Schizosaccharomyces pombe: one gene and its partners. The gene in region 4 interacts genetically with the main gene of each other region. Each region holds a gene or a part of one and is shown on either strand. Other genes may lie near its edges. The genes, in order: his3, his2, nem1 and atg7.

The links.
Region 1: of atg7 (region 4) and his3, changing one enhances a phenotype caused by changing the other (phenotypic enhancement), as found in Schizosaccharomyces pombe (one study listed by BioGRID).
Region 2: of atg7 (region 4) and his2, changing one enhances a phenotype caused by changing the other (phenotypic enhancement), as found in Schizosaccharomyces pombe (one study listed by BioGRID).
Region 3: of atg7 (region 4) and nem1, changing one suppresses a phenotype caused by changing the other (phenotypic suppression), as found in Schizosaccharomyces pombe (one study listed by BioGRID).

The regions. Positions count from the first base shown.
Region 1 is NC_003423.3:1,487,054-1,491,473, reverse strand, and holds his3 (bifunctional histidinol-phosphate aminotransferase/imidazole acetol phosphate transaminase His3), read left to right. Parts: upstream 1-1,783; 5' UTR 1,784-1,809; coding exon 1,810-1,877; intron 1,878-1,932; coding exon 1,933-1,944; exon of another isoform or gene 1,945-2,129; coding exon 2,130-2,741; exon of another isoform or gene 2,742-2,800; coding exon 2,801-3,263; 3' UTR 3,264-3,438; downstream 3,439-4,420. Other genes in the region: COG complex subunit Cog8, read right to left, coding at 1-863; mannosyltransferase complex subunit Alg2, read right to left, coding at 3,536-4,400.
Region 2 is NC_003423.3:2,157,496-2,161,924, forward strand, and holds his2 (histidinol dehydrogenase His2), read left to right. Parts: upstream 1-2,349; 5' UTR 2,350-2,421; coding exon 2,422-3,741; 3' UTR 3,742-3,796; downstream 3,797-4,429. Other genes in the region: ppp16 (acylpeptide hydrolase), read left to right, coding at 130-2,181; meiotic recombination protein Rec15, read left to right, coding at 4,047-4,251, 4,301-4,429. UniProt on the Schizosaccharomyces pombe protein: Catalyzes the sequential NAD-dependent oxidations of L-histidinol to L-histidinaldehyde and then to L-histidine.
Region 3 is NC_003423.3:3,371,433-3,376,340, forward strand, and holds nem1 (Nem1-Spo7 phosphatase complex catalytic subunit Nem1), read left to right. Parts: upstream 1-1,869; 5' UTR 1,870-2,032; coding exon 2,033-3,463; 3' UTR 3,464-4,120; downstream 4,121-4,908. Other genes in the region: RNA polymerase I transcription factor subunit Rrn6, read right to left, coding at 1-752; U3 snoRNP-associated protein Utp3, read right to left, coding at 4,129-4,908. UniProt on the Schizosaccharomyces pombe protein: Catalytic component of the nem1-spo7 complex which acts as a phosphatase and may be required for proper nuclear membrane morphology.
Region 4 is NC_003423.3:2,633,727-2,638,822, reverse strand, and holds atg7 (E1 Atg8 and Atg12 E1 activating enzyme Atg7), read left to right. Parts: upstream 1-2,214; 5' UTR 2,215-2,228; coding exon 2,229-2,419; intron 2,420-2,460; coding exon 2,461-2,566; intron 2,567-2,607; coding exon 2,608-2,940; exon of another isoform or gene 2,941-2,975; coding exon 2,976-3,410; exon of another isoform or gene 3,411-3,470; coding exon 3,471-3,626; exon of another isoform or gene 3,627-3,664; coding exon 3,665-4,089; exon of another isoform or gene 4,090-4,130; coding exon 4,131-4,434; 3' UTR 4,435-4,532; downstream 4,533-5,096. Other genes in the region: ubiquitin hydrolase Ubp14, read left to right, coding at 1-1,210; microtubule-site clamp monopolin complex subunit Mde4, read right to left, coding at 4,533-5,096. UniProt on the Schizosaccharomyces pombe protein: E1-like activating enzyme involved in the 2 ubiquitin-like systems required for cytoplasm to vacuole transport (Cvt) and autophagy. Activates atg12 for its conjugation with atg5 and atg8 for its conjugation with phosphatidylethanolamine.

The DNA of each region.
Region 1 (4,420 bases), 1.1 Mb from region 4:
GGTGACGCTGAAGTGCTGGTGGAATTAGGTATATCTACTGTACCTGCAGCGTTTAAACGATCATTTGATGACTCACCGAATACACTTTGATATTGAAAAAGGAGAGAAAATGCGCGATCACGAATGACCTGTATATATCTCCGTAAGTACAACTCAGGATTATTGTAGTCAAGCAATGGCACTAAATTTCGAAGGCTTGTTTGTAGTTGTTTCCATGAAAAATAAAGAAAAACGTATTTCAATTGGGCTTCGGACAGTTTTGCAGTTACCCGGAGATAGGTCACTACTTTGATTAATGAGTAAAGCTTTAATGGCTTCTGTAGCTGTAAAATAAGTTTCTCAGTAAGTTTAACCACCAGCGTTTCAACTTGAGTAATTAGTTCTTGAATGATAGAGTTTGTACCAAATCGATCTTTTAATCGATACGCAAGTGCTTGAAATTCCAACGTTTCGGAAAAGTAATTCCTTTCGATACAAGCGTTCATCAACTCTGGTAATTCCAGTATACTACTTAATTGCGGCTGAACTTGATGCATTAGTTTTGCATCTCTGTAATGCTCTGAAATTGAAGTTAGAAAGTTTTGGCTTCTCTTGACAGGTTCATATAGCTGATTTGTATGTAAAACAAGCTCTTTAAAATCGTGTCTACTGTTCTCGAGAAGTTGATAAAAGGCATCTTGATTCCTAGCATAATCGACTAATACATTGTAATTGTCTCGTAACAGTTGCTGGCGTTTTTGCACCAATTTTAATTTTTGAGCATGCAATTCGGCTTTTCGTTTCTCCAGTTCTGCATACGGTTTCATAGTAAGATCTCGAACAAAAGCATCCATTTCCGTTACATTATCCCCTATACTATCCATGTCTTCAAGATCTTTAAGCTTTCAAGTCAGGTTGTACAGCAAAACAATTCTTAGTGAAAACGCGTAAAAAAATCATTCACAACTATCTTCTAAAAAAAAGAAACTAATAGAATCTAAAAGAGCTACACGTTTGGATGAATGCGTTACGAATATAAGTACCTTATGTGTAGTAAGGGTTGGAAAGCACCAGCCTTAATGTAAGGATCCATTCTCGAGTAGAAACTTGCATCTTCATCTTGGAACACTGGCTAGATTTTCCGATCGTTTTGTTTAAAGGATTTAAACAATATTTAATTAAAAAAGGTTGAGCAATAGTATTCGCATTTTCTTTGAATAAAATAAAGCAAAAGCGCTGCGACAATTTAATTTATTTAACTTTTACATAAATCGTAGGCCAAAAAGTTATGAATCCAAAATGGTTATCCTAGGTAATGAAATAGATTGTGAATAAGACTGGATTGAACTGCCTCATCTATGCAGCCTGTATAGTGAAAATAAAATAGCTAGATAAAAAGCATGTAGCAATTGAAACAACCTCATAAAATGTAATGAATTATGAATTTAAGTAACAAATATCTATTTCTCGGACGGCAAAAGTCTAGTAAATATGTGTTTTAATTTCAGCGAACTGTAAACAATGGTGCATTTTCTTTACAGCATTAGTATAGTAACGAAATTTTTATCAAGCTTTCAACGTTTTCTTTACTATTGCACTTATAATTGTATTTGGAAATGAAAGACATATGGAGCTTTATTTCTCTTTCCTCTTCAGGTTTCTGAATTTATTGGATATAATGACACGGTGATACACGTTGTAATGAATTAAAGACTCACATTGCTACACACTATATATTTATAGATATCACCTGCATCTTAGGTTAATTATTAATTAATCTCATCGATCGCTTTCTTCTTACTTTAACAAAAACACATCGAAAGAGATACGATGTTTGATTTGAATACTTGTCTTCGTAAAAATATCTTAGAACTTCAGCCTTATCGCTGTGCGAGAGAGTATGTAATAACTTGATAAACTAGAAAGCGTGATATATATTAACATAGAATATAGTGACTTCTCTGAGTATGTTTTATCTTTATATTTGGGTAATAATTGATATGAGGGCTACTTCTAGAAAGATATTTTATTAGCTGCTTGGAAAGCAATGAAGTACTCCCTGTTTACTGTTGTTGTTGGAGCTGGCGATTTCAGGCCTTTGTTGTTTTTTACCCTTTTCTCGCCTATATATTTTTTGCTAATCTTAATAGAGGTGTCCTTCTTGATGCCAATGAATGTGCTTATGGTTCGGTTATTTCCGTGGACGGTGTGGAATTCAATCGTTATCCGGATCCTAGACAGATCGAAGTAAAGCAAAGATTATGTGATTTGAGAAACAAAGAGCTTTCCATTACCAAGCCACTAACACCAGATAACATTTGCATGGGTGTTGGCAGCGATGAAATTATTGACTCCTTAATTCGCATTTCTTGTATTCCTGGAAAAGATAAGATTTTGATGTGTCCACCTTCGTACGGAATGTATACGGTCTCTGCAAAAATCAACGATGTTGAGGTTGTTAAGGTTCTCCTTGAACCAGATTTCAATTTGAACGTCGATGCTATTTGCGAAACACTTTCTAAAGATAGTGCCATCAAAGTCTTTTTTGCTTGTTCCCCTGGTAATCCAACAGCTAAGGCTCTTAAACTCGAGGATATTAAGAAGATTTTGGAGCACCCTACATGGAATGGAATCGTTGTCGTCGATGAGGCCTATATTGATTTCTCTGCTCCCGATATGTCTGCCTTAACTCTTGTCAATGAATATCCAAACCTTGCTGTTTGCCAAACCCTTTCGAAATCTTTCGGTCTAGCAGGAATTCGGTAAGTTAATCTAAGCTTTTAAGCATTAATATTATTTCTTTACTAACTATGATGTTTAGTATCGGATTTTGTTTGACAAGTAAACCTATTGCTACCATTATGAACTCATTAAAGGCTCCTTATAACATTAGCGAACCCACCTCTCGTTTAGCTTTGGATGCTTTATCCCCTCAGTCGATTGATAAAATGCATACATATAGAGATGCTATTATACAGCAAAGAGTTCGTCTTTGCAAAGAGCTTACTACCATTAAAGGAATGGGCAAGATTATAGGTGGTTATGATGCAAATTTTATCCTCATTCAGGTTTTAGATAGACCAGAAGGAGGTAAGCCTAGTAACGATGCCGCAAAATATCTTTATTTACAAATGGCCACGATGCACAAAGTCGTTGTTAGATTTAGAGGTACAGAGCCTCTTTGCGAAGGAGCATTGCGTATCACTGTTGGCACAGAAGAAGAGAATACGATATTACTAAAAACTATTAAACTTGTATTGCAGGAATACTATACAAAAAAATGAGGTTTCCTTTTCTGGCCTATTAGAACGTTTCAATTAGACAAATTATAACTCTTTCCTTTCCCCTTCCGGACTCGTCACATTTCTTTTCTGATGTACCCAATATATTTTGTGTTCGCTAATTGCGCTTGCATTCCTTCTTTCTTTATTAAAATACGTTTTCTTCCTTTTTGGTGTGTTTCCGTATAGTTCGATAAGCAATGAAAAGATGTTATTTTTAATTTTGTAAAGGAGTTACGCTAATTTAAAGGATTATAACCCGTGTAATAAAAGAATTAAAGATTCGTTAGCTTTGCATAGACAGTGAAAGTTAGAAATGACACTGAAACTATACAAGTTCCTAGCATAAATCCGAGTTTTACGCTTGAATACGTTTGAGCGAAATACAATTTGATTATGGCGAAGGGAACAGTTGCAGCGATAATGCATGTCCCCCAAAATAGCATAAATAGAACAAAGACAGCCAACAGTCCATTCACGCGTCTCATTAATCTTTTTTCGGGCGTGATTGATCGTATTCCAGACATTATTTCCGATTCGAATTTTCGAGCCATTGCATCTGTAGAAAATTCATTCTTCACCCATTCACTCCCTGCTTCACCCATGGCAGCAGTATCATATGTAGTACTAGTAGTCGCTTCATATATAACATTTCCCCAAATTTTCGCGTCTCTAGGACGAAGCCAACCATTCTTTCCATCTATAACCGTTTCCAAGGGCCCACCATTCGTTTGGGCTAATACTGGAACTTTACGAAGCATGGCTTCCAAAGGGACAATACCAAAATGTTCATTTTCAGGAGTGTAGAGCAATATTCTAGAAGAAGAAATTAAAGCATCCCGAACCTTTGAAGGAACTGATAATAAAAACAATACATTGGTAGAAGGAGCAACAGTTATGTTATCCCAATTATCTTTTACAGTCGTATAAGAAAGATCCTTTTGTTCACAAAATTCCTGCAATTCTTTTAAATATCGACGATTTTCTGAAACACGAATATCGTAGCCACCGGCTACTAAAAGCAAGTATTCAGGAAATCGGTTAGCAGAAAGATCGCGCAATGCACTAAAAGCATCGATTGCAAGTCGAATATCCTTCTTCCTTTCAAATCGGTTGACGGAAATTAAAAGCTTTCGTTGACTATAACGTAAATACCTTAT
Region 2 (4,429 bases), 480 kb from region 4:
ATAAAGTCATCATATATAATCATATCTTCGTCAGATGGGTTGGTAATCTTTGCAAGATAAATTTCCTTTCCCCTTCATGCAAATTCCTTAGAATTCACCTCACTCTGGTCAAAGAATATATTTTTTTGGATGCATAGTCTTTTCAAGCAGCTAGTTTTTTTCCTGGTAATGACGCTAACTGCAGCTGACAAGGCTGCATTTGATGCGGAATCCATGCTAGAAGCTCCTAGAAGGTCAGCAGTAGTTAGCAATCCTTTAGGGAATCTTGGAATATTTATAGAATCGAATTATTCCTTTGCTGATCACAAATATAACTCTGGAATTTACCTTTTGAATGAAAGCACTAGAAACCATCAAGAGCTTTTAGTACACGGCAAATCAAACAAAGCGCTCACATGGATTACTGATTCAGCTTTTTTATATGCAAGAGAAGATAATTCTAGCTCATCGAGTATCCTTCTTTTTGACGTTAACAATCGATCAGAGCGTATCATATATAATCATAACTCTTCAATATCTGATATAAGGATCGGAGAAAAGAACAACCACTATAGAATCGTTTTTAGTTCAGTGGATAATTCGTTAGTTAAGGGACCTTCAAATGTTCACGTATACGATCACTTGTTTGTTCGACACTGGGATAGATGGAACACAGGATCTAGGAATACCCTTTATTTTATAGAGCTAGATAAAAAAACGGAAAACTCAAATTATTTTGAAATTTCCTCAGAAAAAGCTATTGATTTGTTGAAGGAAACTGGCTTGGAATCTCCTGTCGAACCCTTCGGAGGTCTTTCTGACTTTGATTCTAACTACGACAAACTTGTCTTTGTAGCAAAAGACCCGAAATTAAATCCGGCAACACAAACAAAGACAGTTGTTTACGAGATTAATCTGAACACTCGGAATCTGAAGTCATTGAGCACTGCGAAGGGTGCATGCTCTTCACCAAGACTAGCCAAAGATGGAAATCATATTGCATGGCTTGAAATGCAAACACCACAGTACGAAAGCGATCAAAATCAAATAATGGTATATGAGTCCGAGTCAGGCGCTAAAAAGCACATTGCTCGTCATTGGGACCGATCGCCTTCCAGCATTGAATGGGGGGTTTTCAAAGGAGGCGAACCAGGTCTTTTTGCTATTGCTGAGAATTATGGGAAGCAAATTTTGTTTTTTGTTTCTATATTTCACCACCAAGTTATCCCAATGACAGAAGAACACTCTGTTTCTTCTATTAGTGTCCCTAAATCTTCTTCCTTATGGCTTACGAAGTCATCTTTAATCAATCCCCCTTATTACGCAAAGATTAACGTTGAAACGTTAAACGAAAGTGTTTTACTCGAGAACAATGTCGGATTATCGCCAACTTCTTATGAAGAAATTTGGTTTCCTGGCACTCATGGTCACAGAATTCATGCATGGATTGTAAAGCCCGAAAGTTTTGATAAATCTAAAAAATATCCTGTAGCAGTGCTTATACACGGGGGACCTCAAGGTTCTTGGACAGATAGTTGGTCAACGCGCTGGAATCCTGCAGTTTTTGCTAATGCTGGTTTTATTGTATTTGCTCTTGATCCTACTGGATCTACAGGTTATGGACAACGTTTTACCGATTCCATTGCTCTTGATTGGGGTGGTAAGCCATATAAAGATATTGAACTTGGTGTTGAGTACATAAAAAATCATCTTTCCTATGCTGATTCTGAAAAAATGGTTGCCTTAGGTGCTTCCTATGGTGGTTACATGATTAATTGGATTCAAGGACACCCTTTAGGTCGTCAATTTCGTGCACTTGTATGTCATGACGGGGTATTTAATACCCTCAATACTTTTTACAATACTGAAGAACTTTATTTTTCTATTCACGATTTTGGGGGTACTCCTTGGGAAAACAGAGTTATCTATGAGCGCTGGAATCCTTCAAATTTTGTGAATTATTGGGCCACTCCTGAACTTGTAATTCATAGCTCAAAGGATTACAGGCTTACCGAAAGTGAAGGAATAGCCGCATTCAATGTTTTGCAGTACAAGGGAATTCCTAGCAGATTACTAGTCTTTGAAGACGAAAACCATTGGGTCATTAAACCTGATAATTCCCTACGTTGGCATAAAGAAGTGCTTTCGTGGATTCTTCACTATACTAAAGATTGTAATGCCAATGAAGATGAAACGTTTTAGATTAATTTTAATAATACAACTACGATTATTTAATAAATTTTTTTTTGTTTCTCTCGATCTTTGTTAATTCTATTACCGCGGATAAAAAGTTGCAACCGCGGTTTATCCGAAGACATATCAAATTTAGATCTTTGCTGTAAGGGAAATCGAGTATTCACCGATCCAGCCATTCCTTAGCCAACATTGCATTAAATTTTTAGAGAGTCGATTTAGACTTGACTACCTTTAATTTACTTAATAATGCCGGAATACGAGATTCAGGTGCCTTCTTATAGAGCTGCTGCATTAACCGCCGAAGAACGTACACGATTACTTGCAAGACCCATTCAGAACACTCAAAAAATTCGTACGATTGTCCAACCGATAATCGAGGATGTTAAATCAAGAGGAGAAGCTTCTCTAATAGATTATGCTTCCAAATTTGAAAAGGTTCAATTGAAGTCGGCTGTCTTAAAGGCTCCGTTTGACGACGACTTAATGAAAATATCCCCAATGATTAAAGAGGATATTGATATTGCTTTTAACAATATTTTTGCTTTCCATTCATCACAGCTGCGTCCTACAATTGCTGTTCAAACCATGCGTGGTGTAGTCTGTCAACGGATGTCTCGTCCTATTAACCGAGTTGGTCTTTATATCCCTGGAGGAACTGCAGTGTTGCCATCTACTGCTTTGATGCTTGGAGTTCCGGCGAAGGTAGCTGGCTGTCCTCATGTAGTGATTTCTACGCCAGTCCGAAAGGATGGTACGGTTGCGCCTGAAATTGTATATATTGCAAATAAAATTGGTGCTGAGGCTATTATTTTGGCAGGCGGGGCGCAAGCAATTGCGGCCATGGCATATGGAATATCCGGTGTTCCTAAAGTTAACAAAATTTTTGGCCCTGGAAATCAATTTGTTACAGCTGCAAAGATGCATGTTCAGAATGATTACGGGGCTTTAGTTGCTATTGATCTTCCTGCTGGTCCCTCAGAAGTTTTGGTAATAGCAGATGAGACCTGTAATCCTGAAAGTGTTGCCTTGGATTTATTGTCTCAAGCAGAGCATGGTTTGGACAGTCAGATCATTTTGCTGACTGTCTCTCTATCTCCCGAAATGTTTGACCGTATTCAAAAAGCAATTAATGATCACGCTTTACGACTTTCTCGTTCGTATATCATCAAACATGCTATCAAGAAGTCGGTTATTGTACAGGTTGACAATGTTGATCAAGCTTTTGAATGGTCTAATTTGTATGGTCCTGAGCACTTGGTCTTGCACTTAAAAAATGCTTCTTCATACATTCCCAAAATAGATAATGCTGGTAGCGTTTTCGTTGGTCCTTGGTCACCTGTAAGTATGGGTGACTATGCGTCTGGTACCAACCATACGCTTCCTACATACGGGTACGCCTCTTCTTATTCTGGCGTTAGTACCGATAGCTTCTTAAAATATATCACTACCCAAGAGCTCACTGAAGAAGGAATCCAGCGGTTGGGCCCTACTGTTATTCGTCTTGCTGAGTTGGAGGGTCTCACTGCGCATGCCGATGCTGTTCGTGTTCGGGGAGTTAGACTTTGAAAGGGGTTTCCTTTTTACGTATACCTAATTAAGGATTCGGCTTAAAATAAAATTTGTGTTTGGTACTAAATTTGACAAAGTATTTTTAGGTTATGATTTATTTTATTTTATTTTATATTTTTCAATTTAATTTTAATAGTATGAATGGGCATCCAATATACTGAGTAATTATCCATTAATTCAACCTGAAGTTAGTTGGTGTCGCGTCGCGTGTCTCGACTTTTTTCTAGTGAAAACGAACATTCCCTTTAACCAAACCTGCAATTAAGCGTTACGGGAATTTTAACGGAAACGATCATTAAATAATGAGTTATTCAGTTTCAGCTGCTCAATTATGGTCTCGCAAGTTGGCAATGCAAGCCGAAGATATGCAACAGCATCAAAAGTCACAGAGCAATCAAATTGCTAGTTGTTTGGCTGAAATGAATACCAAACAAGAGGTAGTTAATCAAACGATCGGTCAACTAGGACGATCTATTAGTGAAGTCCAACAACAAAATTCTCAACTAGGTAAGTGAGATTTAGAATTTCCCAAGTGGTTGGAAGTCTGACTTAATAGTACTACAATCTTTGAATCAAATAAACATGTCTATGCAGCAAGTGGCCTTAGGGATTCAAGATTATGCCAGTCGTATCAATAAGTTGGAACAGACCATGTCAGATATGAATTTGAAATTTGAAGCTTTAC
Region 3 (4,908 bases), 740 kb from region 4:
TCATCTAAGAACATTAAATCATAAGTTACCTGGAATATAACCAACTCACAAGACGATAATGCGAAGAGCAAACTTGGTTCTCCATTAGAGAAAACCAATTGTCTCACTGGTTGTGAGAATTTCCATATTGGATCCTCAGCAAACTCAAAAGCCGATACATTCAAGTAAAATGGGAATTCTTCAAAAGTTGCAGTATTTTGTAATGTCGGAGATGCACGAAAAATCCATGGAGACGAGAGGCATAAAAAGAGGAGATTTTCCGCAGTTTCATTGCTAATCTTGCTACAAGCAAGACATTCAGTTGTGGTGTATCTGTTTTTATCTGATGGCGCTGTTTTACCCAAGCAAAAAGTATTTAAAATATGTGGATTATATATAGACTCAGCAGAAGAAGCTAATTGAGACTCTTTCGCTAGTGTAGAAAATAAATTTCGCGGAACATATCTGCAAACACTTAAACCAAATGAACTACTAGTCGCTTTACGCGTGGAATTGGTGGCCTCAGCAGGAAGCTCAGTTAATTTAGGGAGTTTGTAGTTTGGATTTAAAGATAAGATATCCCATCTTTTGTCCAAGTCAACAAGCTCGACGCCCGTATAGGAGTCATACCTAGCAAAAGTCCATTCATTATTTTCAACCTTCTCCGCTCTGTGATAGCCAGATGGATTTAAAAGTTGACACGCCCCTATAATTCCATAATCCAAACTTACACTAGGTTTTTTACTAATTGCATCAATAGGCCATGTTGACATGAAGATAATTAGAAAAATAAAATTAGATTGAATTGTGTTTACAAAAACACATCTAACGACAATACAAGAGCAACCTAGCGACAAAGCAAGTAATCAGTGTTTCAAGGAAGCAATGCTGGAGTAATTTCACCTATAGTTAAGAACTTGACTTTATTGTTATACTATAATATATTTAAAGTGCTATCTTTAAACCATTATATAATTATATAAAATATAACTCCTACCGACTACATGCTTTCAATTGAACAATTTATTGATTTATGTTAACTGAGAATTTCTCTTTACTAGAAAAAGATGAAGTTTAAAAGTAATACTTAAATTAGTCATAAGACAGTGTTCAAGTAGGAGAGGAGTTCTTCTCCGAAGTCTCTAAGCTGCTATCAATTACATGTAGATTAACACAGCAACAAAACAATCTCCTTTACAATGAAATGCAAACGCTTACGATTTTGGAATGATTTAGCAATAGATAAATTGGTTTACGAATGTTGCATTAGCCCAGTTTTCCCTTTTCATAAAAAATACGTAAGGAGGTGCTGATACCTGAGGAAGAGTGCAATATTCAGATTAGCAAGTGTTTTGAATTCTCTTTAGTGTCCGCTTAACCAATTTTATCGATATGTTTATAATTTTGTAAAGTCAATAAGTTAGTTCAGCCTGTTATTTGTAAGTAATTTATTGTATGCAACGTCTAAAGGAGCTTGATACATTTTAACGTACCATTAAATATATTTAGACTTAAAAGCATCTTTCAAGTAATGTCAAGAAACCTAAAAAGACCGCTCGGCGACTTACATTCTAGCAAAACGTTGATTAAAAGAATGGCAATTAAGCTAGCTTCTACAAATATTTAGACTTTTAATAAAATGAAAATTAATTTTTCTTGCACAGAAACCCATACAAGTAAAGTTTATTAGTTAAAAAAAATGAAAGCTTCTGCAATGAACTTTCATTTTACGAACTTAATAAATATTTACACCGTATTGTTTACATTTAAATTTGTTACTTTAAGGTAGTTTTGATATATCTTCTTAAGCATTACGTCTTATGAAAATGTTATTATTTGGGTTGTAGTTCATCATTATATATATTGTGCATCGTACCACCGTGTGATTCTGGCTTTGTTTTCCCACATATTTTAGGTCTAACTAACACATATTTAATTAATTACTCTTTTTTACTAAAAGGACTCTGCTTGGTCGTTGTATACTTTGTATGCATCGCTTCTTTTGGTGAATTTTTTAATTCTTTGCAATCGCAGCAGAGAGAAAATAATTGTAATGAATTCGATTGCTAGGCTATCAGATGAAATTAATAAAGCAATCCTTGCCACTCCTTTAGACGACGATGAAGCTGACAAAGAAAAACTTGCTAATGCTCGGGGGCGAGCTTCATCAGCTACTTTGAGGCATTATAATCGTCGTAGATCGTCTTATTCGGCGTCCAGCCTTAGCAGTTTGTCATCAAAACCGACGGAAAAGGAAGTTCCTACAAGGAATGAAAAACCGAAGCATGCCAACATTATGCGTGTTGTCGTCTACTGGATTCGTGTGTTCCTGAAACGAATTTATACGTTTTTCGTTCATTCCGCTCGTGTATTTTTGTACCACTTTTTGAATGAAGAGAAAGAGTTTACCCTTGCAAGTTTTTTTTGGGGTCTATGCCGGTTTGTCTTTTTTCCTGTATTATTATCGTATAAACGCCGAGAGATGCTTCCCCCTCAGCCAAGTGTCCGCCGTCCTAGGTTTTATTCTTCTTATTCTTACCCATCCTCTCACCAGGATCCTGCCTATTCATCTTTCAAACGACATAGATCTTCTAATTCTTATAGCAGTTCTTCTAATGGAAATCATGTTCGTTTTCAGCCCTCTATTGCAGAAGAAGAAATTTCTTTCAATTCTTTTTCAAATTCATTGAATTCAGAAGAAGATGTGTGTGTTTCTCCTATGAAACCCAAAGAGGTCTCCCTAATGGGAAAAGCAAATTCCAATCGTTCAGGACATTCGCATCAACCTCAATCAACTCAGTTTTCCCCGCCTGCTAATGACAATATTTCTAAGCTGCCTTCCTCCTTTACGATAGTTAATGATCCTCTTAAATCTCCTTCTTCTTCCCGTCTCCGTATTAGAAACATTACTCTGTGTGCGGACAAAATACCGAGGCCTTTGTTGAATAGCAAGTTACCGAGAAAGACCCTTGTATTAGATTTGGATGAAACACTTATCCATTCCGTGTCTCGTGGTAGTCGAACGACTTCTGGACAGCCAATTGAAGTACATGTGCCTGGTGAACATCCAATCCTTTACTATATTCACAAAAGGCCTCATCTTGACTACTTTTTATCAAATGTGAGTCAATGGTTTCGCCTTATTTTGTTCACAGCATCTGTCCAGCCATATGCTGATCCAATAATTGATTATTTGGAGCGTGATAAAAAAATATTTGCTAAACGATACTACCGTCAACACTGTGCACTTGTCGATAGTTCTTTCGTTAAAGATATTTCCATTTGTAATATTCATCTTTCACGGATCATGATAATTGATAATTCTCCAGCCAGTTACAATGCTCATAAAGAAAATGCCATACCTATTGAAGGTTGGATTAGCGACCCCTCTGACGTTGATTTACTAAACTTACTTTCTTTTCTTCATGCACTGCAATATGTTCATGATGTGCGAGATCTTTTGGGGCTTCGTCTCGCAAAATAAGTGCTTTTCATGATTCCTTTTTTTTTTCGTGAGTAATTTACTCGTTATTTATCACCAGTAACGATGGTCTAAAATAACTTTTTCTACTGCATTAACATCTTGGGTGCCTTTCCTTTCTCATCATCAAACTTCTTTGTTATAACCTCAAAAGGGTACCTTTTGGATATTTCCTAGACCGCATTTGGGCCATTCCAGTTAAATAATTTTTGTTTCTTTTTGCTGATAATATGTCAATTAATGTAAGCCTAATCGTAAGAAATTCTTTCTAATAAACTAAACGCATGTTTTAAGAAAGATTAGTTTCTGCACTGATGTTCGCAGCAATTACGAAGGCAACTTACTTATGAAATTTCTTTCTAAATCAAGCTTTTAATAAACATGTTTATTCTATTTAAGTGTTGATTCTTTTTTTTTTACTTTTCAATCTGTTATTACAATCAACTTACTTAATCAGGATGGGCAAAGGATTATAAATGATTTAATGATTATAAACCAGATTACATAGACTTTTAGCATTTTAAAATCATATCACTAGGCTAACGACATTGTTCTAGCAAATAACATAACCCAAAACCACATTATTATTATATGTATCTAATAACACGAAAATTCAAAAAACCTAATATATGCAGAATTAATAGTTGAATCAATACCAACCACCACTTCTATTGAAGTTTAATACTTTTAACTAAACCAGCTTTAATACCAGTCTGCTCACCAGCATAGCCGCCCTGTGGTGCGCCCTTGTAAATAGCCTTTTTGCTGGCTAATTTCTTCTTAGCTTTTTCGTAGCGCATACGCTTTTTAAGTCGAGGATTTCTATTTTCTTTAGGTCGACGGGGAGTTAATCCTCTATTTTTAGCAATGTCTAAAGTAATTCCACGCTTATCACCTTCACCTAATTCAATTAGTTCTGGGTGCCTTGAAGCTCTTATTAAATCACGTTCGAGATCGTGATTTTCTTTACGGAGCTTTTTAGCCATCTTTGATTTTTTATCGAGAGACTCGTAATAATCCAAATCATCTTGATCTTCAACTTCACGATCGACATTTGCAGGTATGCCCATTGATTCCGGATCTTCATCATCAAGATCAGCACCAGCATCCTGATTTCGACCCCTGGCTGCAGCTTCTCTCATCAATCGCTGCTGGCGTTCAAATCTTCGTTCTTTGTATGGCATGTCCAAATCACCTGATAACTCCAGTACCGCTCTGGAACGCTTAGCTGCCTTTTGGTCAATTTGATTAGCATAAAACTTTAAAGAGCGTTTCCTAGCAATCTTGTCTTCAGCATCAACATCGTCCAATCTGTTGCCTTCACCATAGTCATCGAGATTTTTAATATTAGTATTAATTTTAGATTTAGCGGCTCGAAATTTCAAAGTAATATCATCATCTTCAGCTACTGGAATATCCTTAATGCCCTCATTTTCATTATCGCTGAT
Region 4 (5,096 bases):
TCCTTCTTCATCGATTCTTCCTTACCAAGATGGTTTGAGGCCTTTTATGTTCAAAGATGTTGTGGGACAAGGGCATTCTGAATTTGGAACTTCTCAACAGCAAGATGCTTATGAGTTTTTATTGTATTTGCTGGGGAAAATACGGAAATCTAGTATTGCGAAAACTGACATTACTAAGATTTTTGACTTTGAAACGGAGCAAAAATTATCTTGTCTTTCCTGTAAACGCGTTCGCTATTCTTCTTTCTCTTCTCAGGGATTGACTTTGACAGTTCCGCGTGTTAAAATTGGTGAAATTGAGGGTGAGCAAATTTATGAAGAAGTCTCAATAGACCAATGTTTAGATGCAACTATACAACCAGACCAAATGGAGTATACTTGTGAAGCTTGTAAAAGTAAACTAGGAGCTACAACTACTACTGCCATGAAGTCGTTCCCGAAAGTCTTGATCCTACAAGCCAACCGGTTTGATTTACAGGGATATCAAGTTAAGAAATTAAGCATCCCTATAATAGTTAATGAAGACGGAATTTATAATTTCGATCGCTTAATGGCTAAGGACCACCCAAATGACGAAGATTATCTTCCTGAAAAGACAGAGACCATTGAATGGAACCAAAGTGCTATTGAACAGCTTCAAGCTATGGGATTTCCTTTAGTCAGATGCCAACGAGCATTACTCGCTACTGGAAATTCTGATACTGAAACTGCCATGAACTGGCTATTTGAACATATGGAGGACCCTGAAATTGACAAACCTATTGAAGTTTCTGAATTACTGCCCAAAGCAGACTCAAGTGTTTCAGAAGAAAATGTTCAATCATTATGTGAATTCGGCTTTACTGTTGCACAAGCACGAAAAGGATTGCTTGAATCTAACAATAATATTGAGCGCGCAGTTGATTGGATTTTAAATCATCCGGATGAAAGTTTTGAAGAACCACCACTTGAAGGATCAGATTCTTCAATAAAAAATGAAAATATGGGTAGTTGGGAATCGACAAACGTTCCAGTCAACTACAATTTAAAGGCCATAATAAGCCATAAGGGCTCAAGTGCGCATGCCGGTCATTATGTAGCATTTATACGCAAAGAGATAGATGGAAAGCAGCAATGGGTTTTGTTTAATGATGAAAAGGTGCTTCAAGTTGCCTCCTTGGAAGAAGCAAAAACTACCGGATATGTCTATCTTTTTGAAAGGCTAGATTGACATTAATTTATATCATTTTTTTTTTTTTAATAGCAATCATCGGAGCGTCTTATTGAATTTTGGGTTGAGCAGAATTTGGTAGCATACAACAACTAAATTTTTTTAACATTACATTATCAAAGAGACCCGGATTTAAGTCTTTCTTTACAAAATAGACCAACCATTCAGTTTGGCTTTAAAAACTCCTTTGACGCAAAAGTCGTTTTACAGTCATCACTCCCCGAATATTTGAAATAAATAAAAAATATCCTTAATAGCATTTTGAGTTACCTTCTGTGAACGAATTTCGTATTTTAAATTTTGAAAGAGTAGTTTTGATTGTAAGTATCCACGCACCATTCCAATTAAATGCTATATCGTCTCCACGGTCAAGAGTTTCAAAATATGTAAATTTGACCCTAAATACATAAGAGAGCTGACATTCATTTTATTTGAAAATATATCTGAAACCCAATTGTAAGCTACGCAGTTTGGTATCTGATTTAAGGATACGTAGAACTGCGGTGAGTTTTCCTTGTGATCTATTATATTACAATACACAGGTTGTATAAGTAGCAACTGAGTATAGGTATTGTATTAACTGGGTTATAATGTTACCTATCACTAATATAGCTCATAACTGAACTGAGGAACGAGGTTCAGCAGTAGCTCTATTTATAGTATTCAGATAATATTGATCTTAATAGATTATCATTAAGATCAATCTCCATATCGTATCATACATGGTACGATATATAATTAGAACATGTGACATATAGTGATACGCAACGTAGTGTAGTATTGCTGACACCAATGTAATTATAGCATATTTGCAATATTCAATATATTCTGTAATAACGCAGGTGTAAATTGGACTTGCCCTAAATAATTTCTAATTTAACGAAATTTAAAGCACAGTGATAAACAGTTCACGGCTTCAACATGTAATGACATCTATAATTTACTACACTACTTACTGTGTATACCCAGCAGTATATAGTAACTGTGTAGCAAACTAACGTTGTAGCAACGTTCAGAAATGTTTGTTGGAAAGGCATTGCAGTTTCAGTCATTCCATTCCTCCATTGATGCTACGTTTTGGCATCAATTGAGCAATTACAAAGTCGAAAAGCAAAAATTAGACGCGTCACCTTTAACTATTCATGGTAAATTTAATACATATTCAAGAGGAAATATATCAATTGTATTTGGAGAAGCGCCATCAAACAGGTAATGAGTGTACAATAATGCTTCATCTAATCTGTCCCTAGTAATATCAAAGACTGTTTAGCCGAGGGTACACTGTTAAATGCCAATACTCCTCAAGAATTTACTAACGCTGACGTGAAAAAAATTCGAGAGGAAATTGGTGAAGTTGTAAGTAGATTGATACAAAAGCTCATTAACATTATGTATAGTTATTAAATTCAATTAAAAACGGAGTTGTTTCTGAAAGGCCTAATGAATTACTTAGATTTCTTATATTTTCTTACGCCGACATAAAAGCTTACAAATACCATTATTGGTGCTTATTTCCTTCGTTTAAAGAAACTCCTCACTGGATTGTAAAAGACTTATCACCAGCTGAATCGCTAATACCTTCAGGTCCAATTTTATCTCAAATTCGTGAATTCTTGTCTACAGCTGATTACTATCAACGCCCTTTTTTCTTATTAATAAAATCAACATTAGATGAATGGACTATTGCACCTCTGAAGGAGCTTTCCCACTGTGTGGACAAGTCGCTTCAGGTATGCCATCGATTTTTAATCCAACTAACACGTAGTTTTATCTCGTTGCAGAAGATTCTGTTCAATTGGCAGAATATCCATCTTGGCCAGTCAGGAATATCCTCGCTTTTGCATTTATTAAGTTTAAATTGAAAGTGATTAATTTATTTCTATATCGCGATGGGATTAATTCTGATACGCTGTCGAAAAGCATACTAATAAAAGTTGAAGCAGATAAGGATATGATTCTTGAAGCACCCCTTTCAATCGTTGGATGGGAAAGAAATGGAAAAGGCGTTTTAGGTCCCCGGGTCGTTAATTTGTCTACGGTCCTTGATCCTTTTGTATTGTCTGAATCTGCTTCAACGTTAAACCTAAGCTTGATGAGATGGAGACTAGTGCCGCAATTAGATCTCGATCGTATTCAAAACTCAAAATGTTTACTTCTGGGGGCCGGTACTCTGGGTTGTGGAGTGGCAAGGAATTTGCTGGTAATGAAATTGAAATAAAATATTTATATGAAGCAAACGACCAAATTGCTAACGTTCTAGTCGTGGGGGGTGAGACATGTTACATTTGTGGATTACTCTACTGTCTCCTACTCAAATCCTGTCCGCCAGTCATTGTTTACATTTGAAGATTGCAAACGAAAGTTGCCAAAGGCAGAGTGTGCGGCGCAACGGCTTAAGGAGATATACCCGAATATGGTACAAAAAATTATTATGAATGCAAGCTAACAAAGAAGTTTTCAACGGGATATAACATCAGCATACCAATGCTTGGACACCCTATATATGAAGCTGGCATTGAGAAAACTATGCATGATTACGAAACTCTTGAGAACCTTATTTCCACTCACGATGCGATATTCTTGTTGACCGATACAAGGGAATCACGTTGGCTTCCGACAGTCATATCAACTGCCATGGACAAGTTGTTGATCAATTCAGCATTAGGATTTGACAGCTGGCTGGTCATGAGACATGGTAGTGTTTTACAAAAAGAGAATCGCTTAGGTTGTTATTTTTGTAATGACATATTTGCGCCTTCAAACTCACTAGTTGACCGTACACTTGATCAGACCTGCACAGTAACACGATCAGGATGTGCTAACATTGCTACAGCAATAGCAGTAGAGTTATTTGTTAGCTTGCTGCAGCACCCCAATGGGTACGGAAATTTTTTTTAGAATTATTAATTATCAATTTTAGACATGCTGCACCTGTCTTAAATGAAGATCAAACTGTGTTAGGTGAACTTCCCCATCAAATTCGAGGGTTCTTGCATAATTTTAGCCTAATGAAAATTTCAGGGATGGCTTATCCTCAGTGTTCAGCTTGCAGTGAATGTATTATAAATGAATGGAACAGAGAGAAATGGATGTTTGTTTTACGAGCCATTAATGAACCGGACTATGTTGAAGAATTATGTGGATTAAGAGAAGTACAAGCATTAGGTGAAATTGCTGGCACAATGGAAGAATGGATTAGTGATAAAGAAAGTGTGATTCTTTAATGGCGTGTGTTATGGACCAGTATACTAATGAATTAAACTATGTTTGGAAAAATCGATAATTGAAAAATCTATGAAGTGTTAGACAAAATCTATTTAATTTATTTTTTCATTGTAAATCCTTTCTTCAATTCATTTATCTCATCATTTCTTTTTTTTAACGGACTTATTGAGCGTCGTAATGTACTTTTAGTAGGTTGTATTGTCTCTAATAGAAAGCTAGATTCGCTATCTTCTTCTGTAAATTCACAGTTAGAAACAGTATCCTTCAACTTTCTTTTTTTTCTGATTGGAATCTTAGAAGGACTCAATGATGATGGGGATTGTGGTATTTTTAAGTGATCATTATGATTAATATCACTTACATTTGAAGGGATGGTATCGTCTAAGTGTTTTTTAAGATAACGAGCATTGGATGGGCTTACGGTCATGGAGTGGGGATACTTGTCACGCGAAAAAGGCTGTGAGGACTGAGCTGATGGCGATGATTGAGGCGGACTAGAAGATAGCCCTATAGAAGTAGAAGTTTTTTGAAGAAAAGGGGTAACGCTCAAGGGGGATCCTGAAGTTGCATTTGGTTGTCGAGTACCCATAATTGCCTGTTTCGAAGGGGAAAAAAGTTTTGGGGACGAAACACGAGGAGAAACAAGTAAACTCTTTCTCTC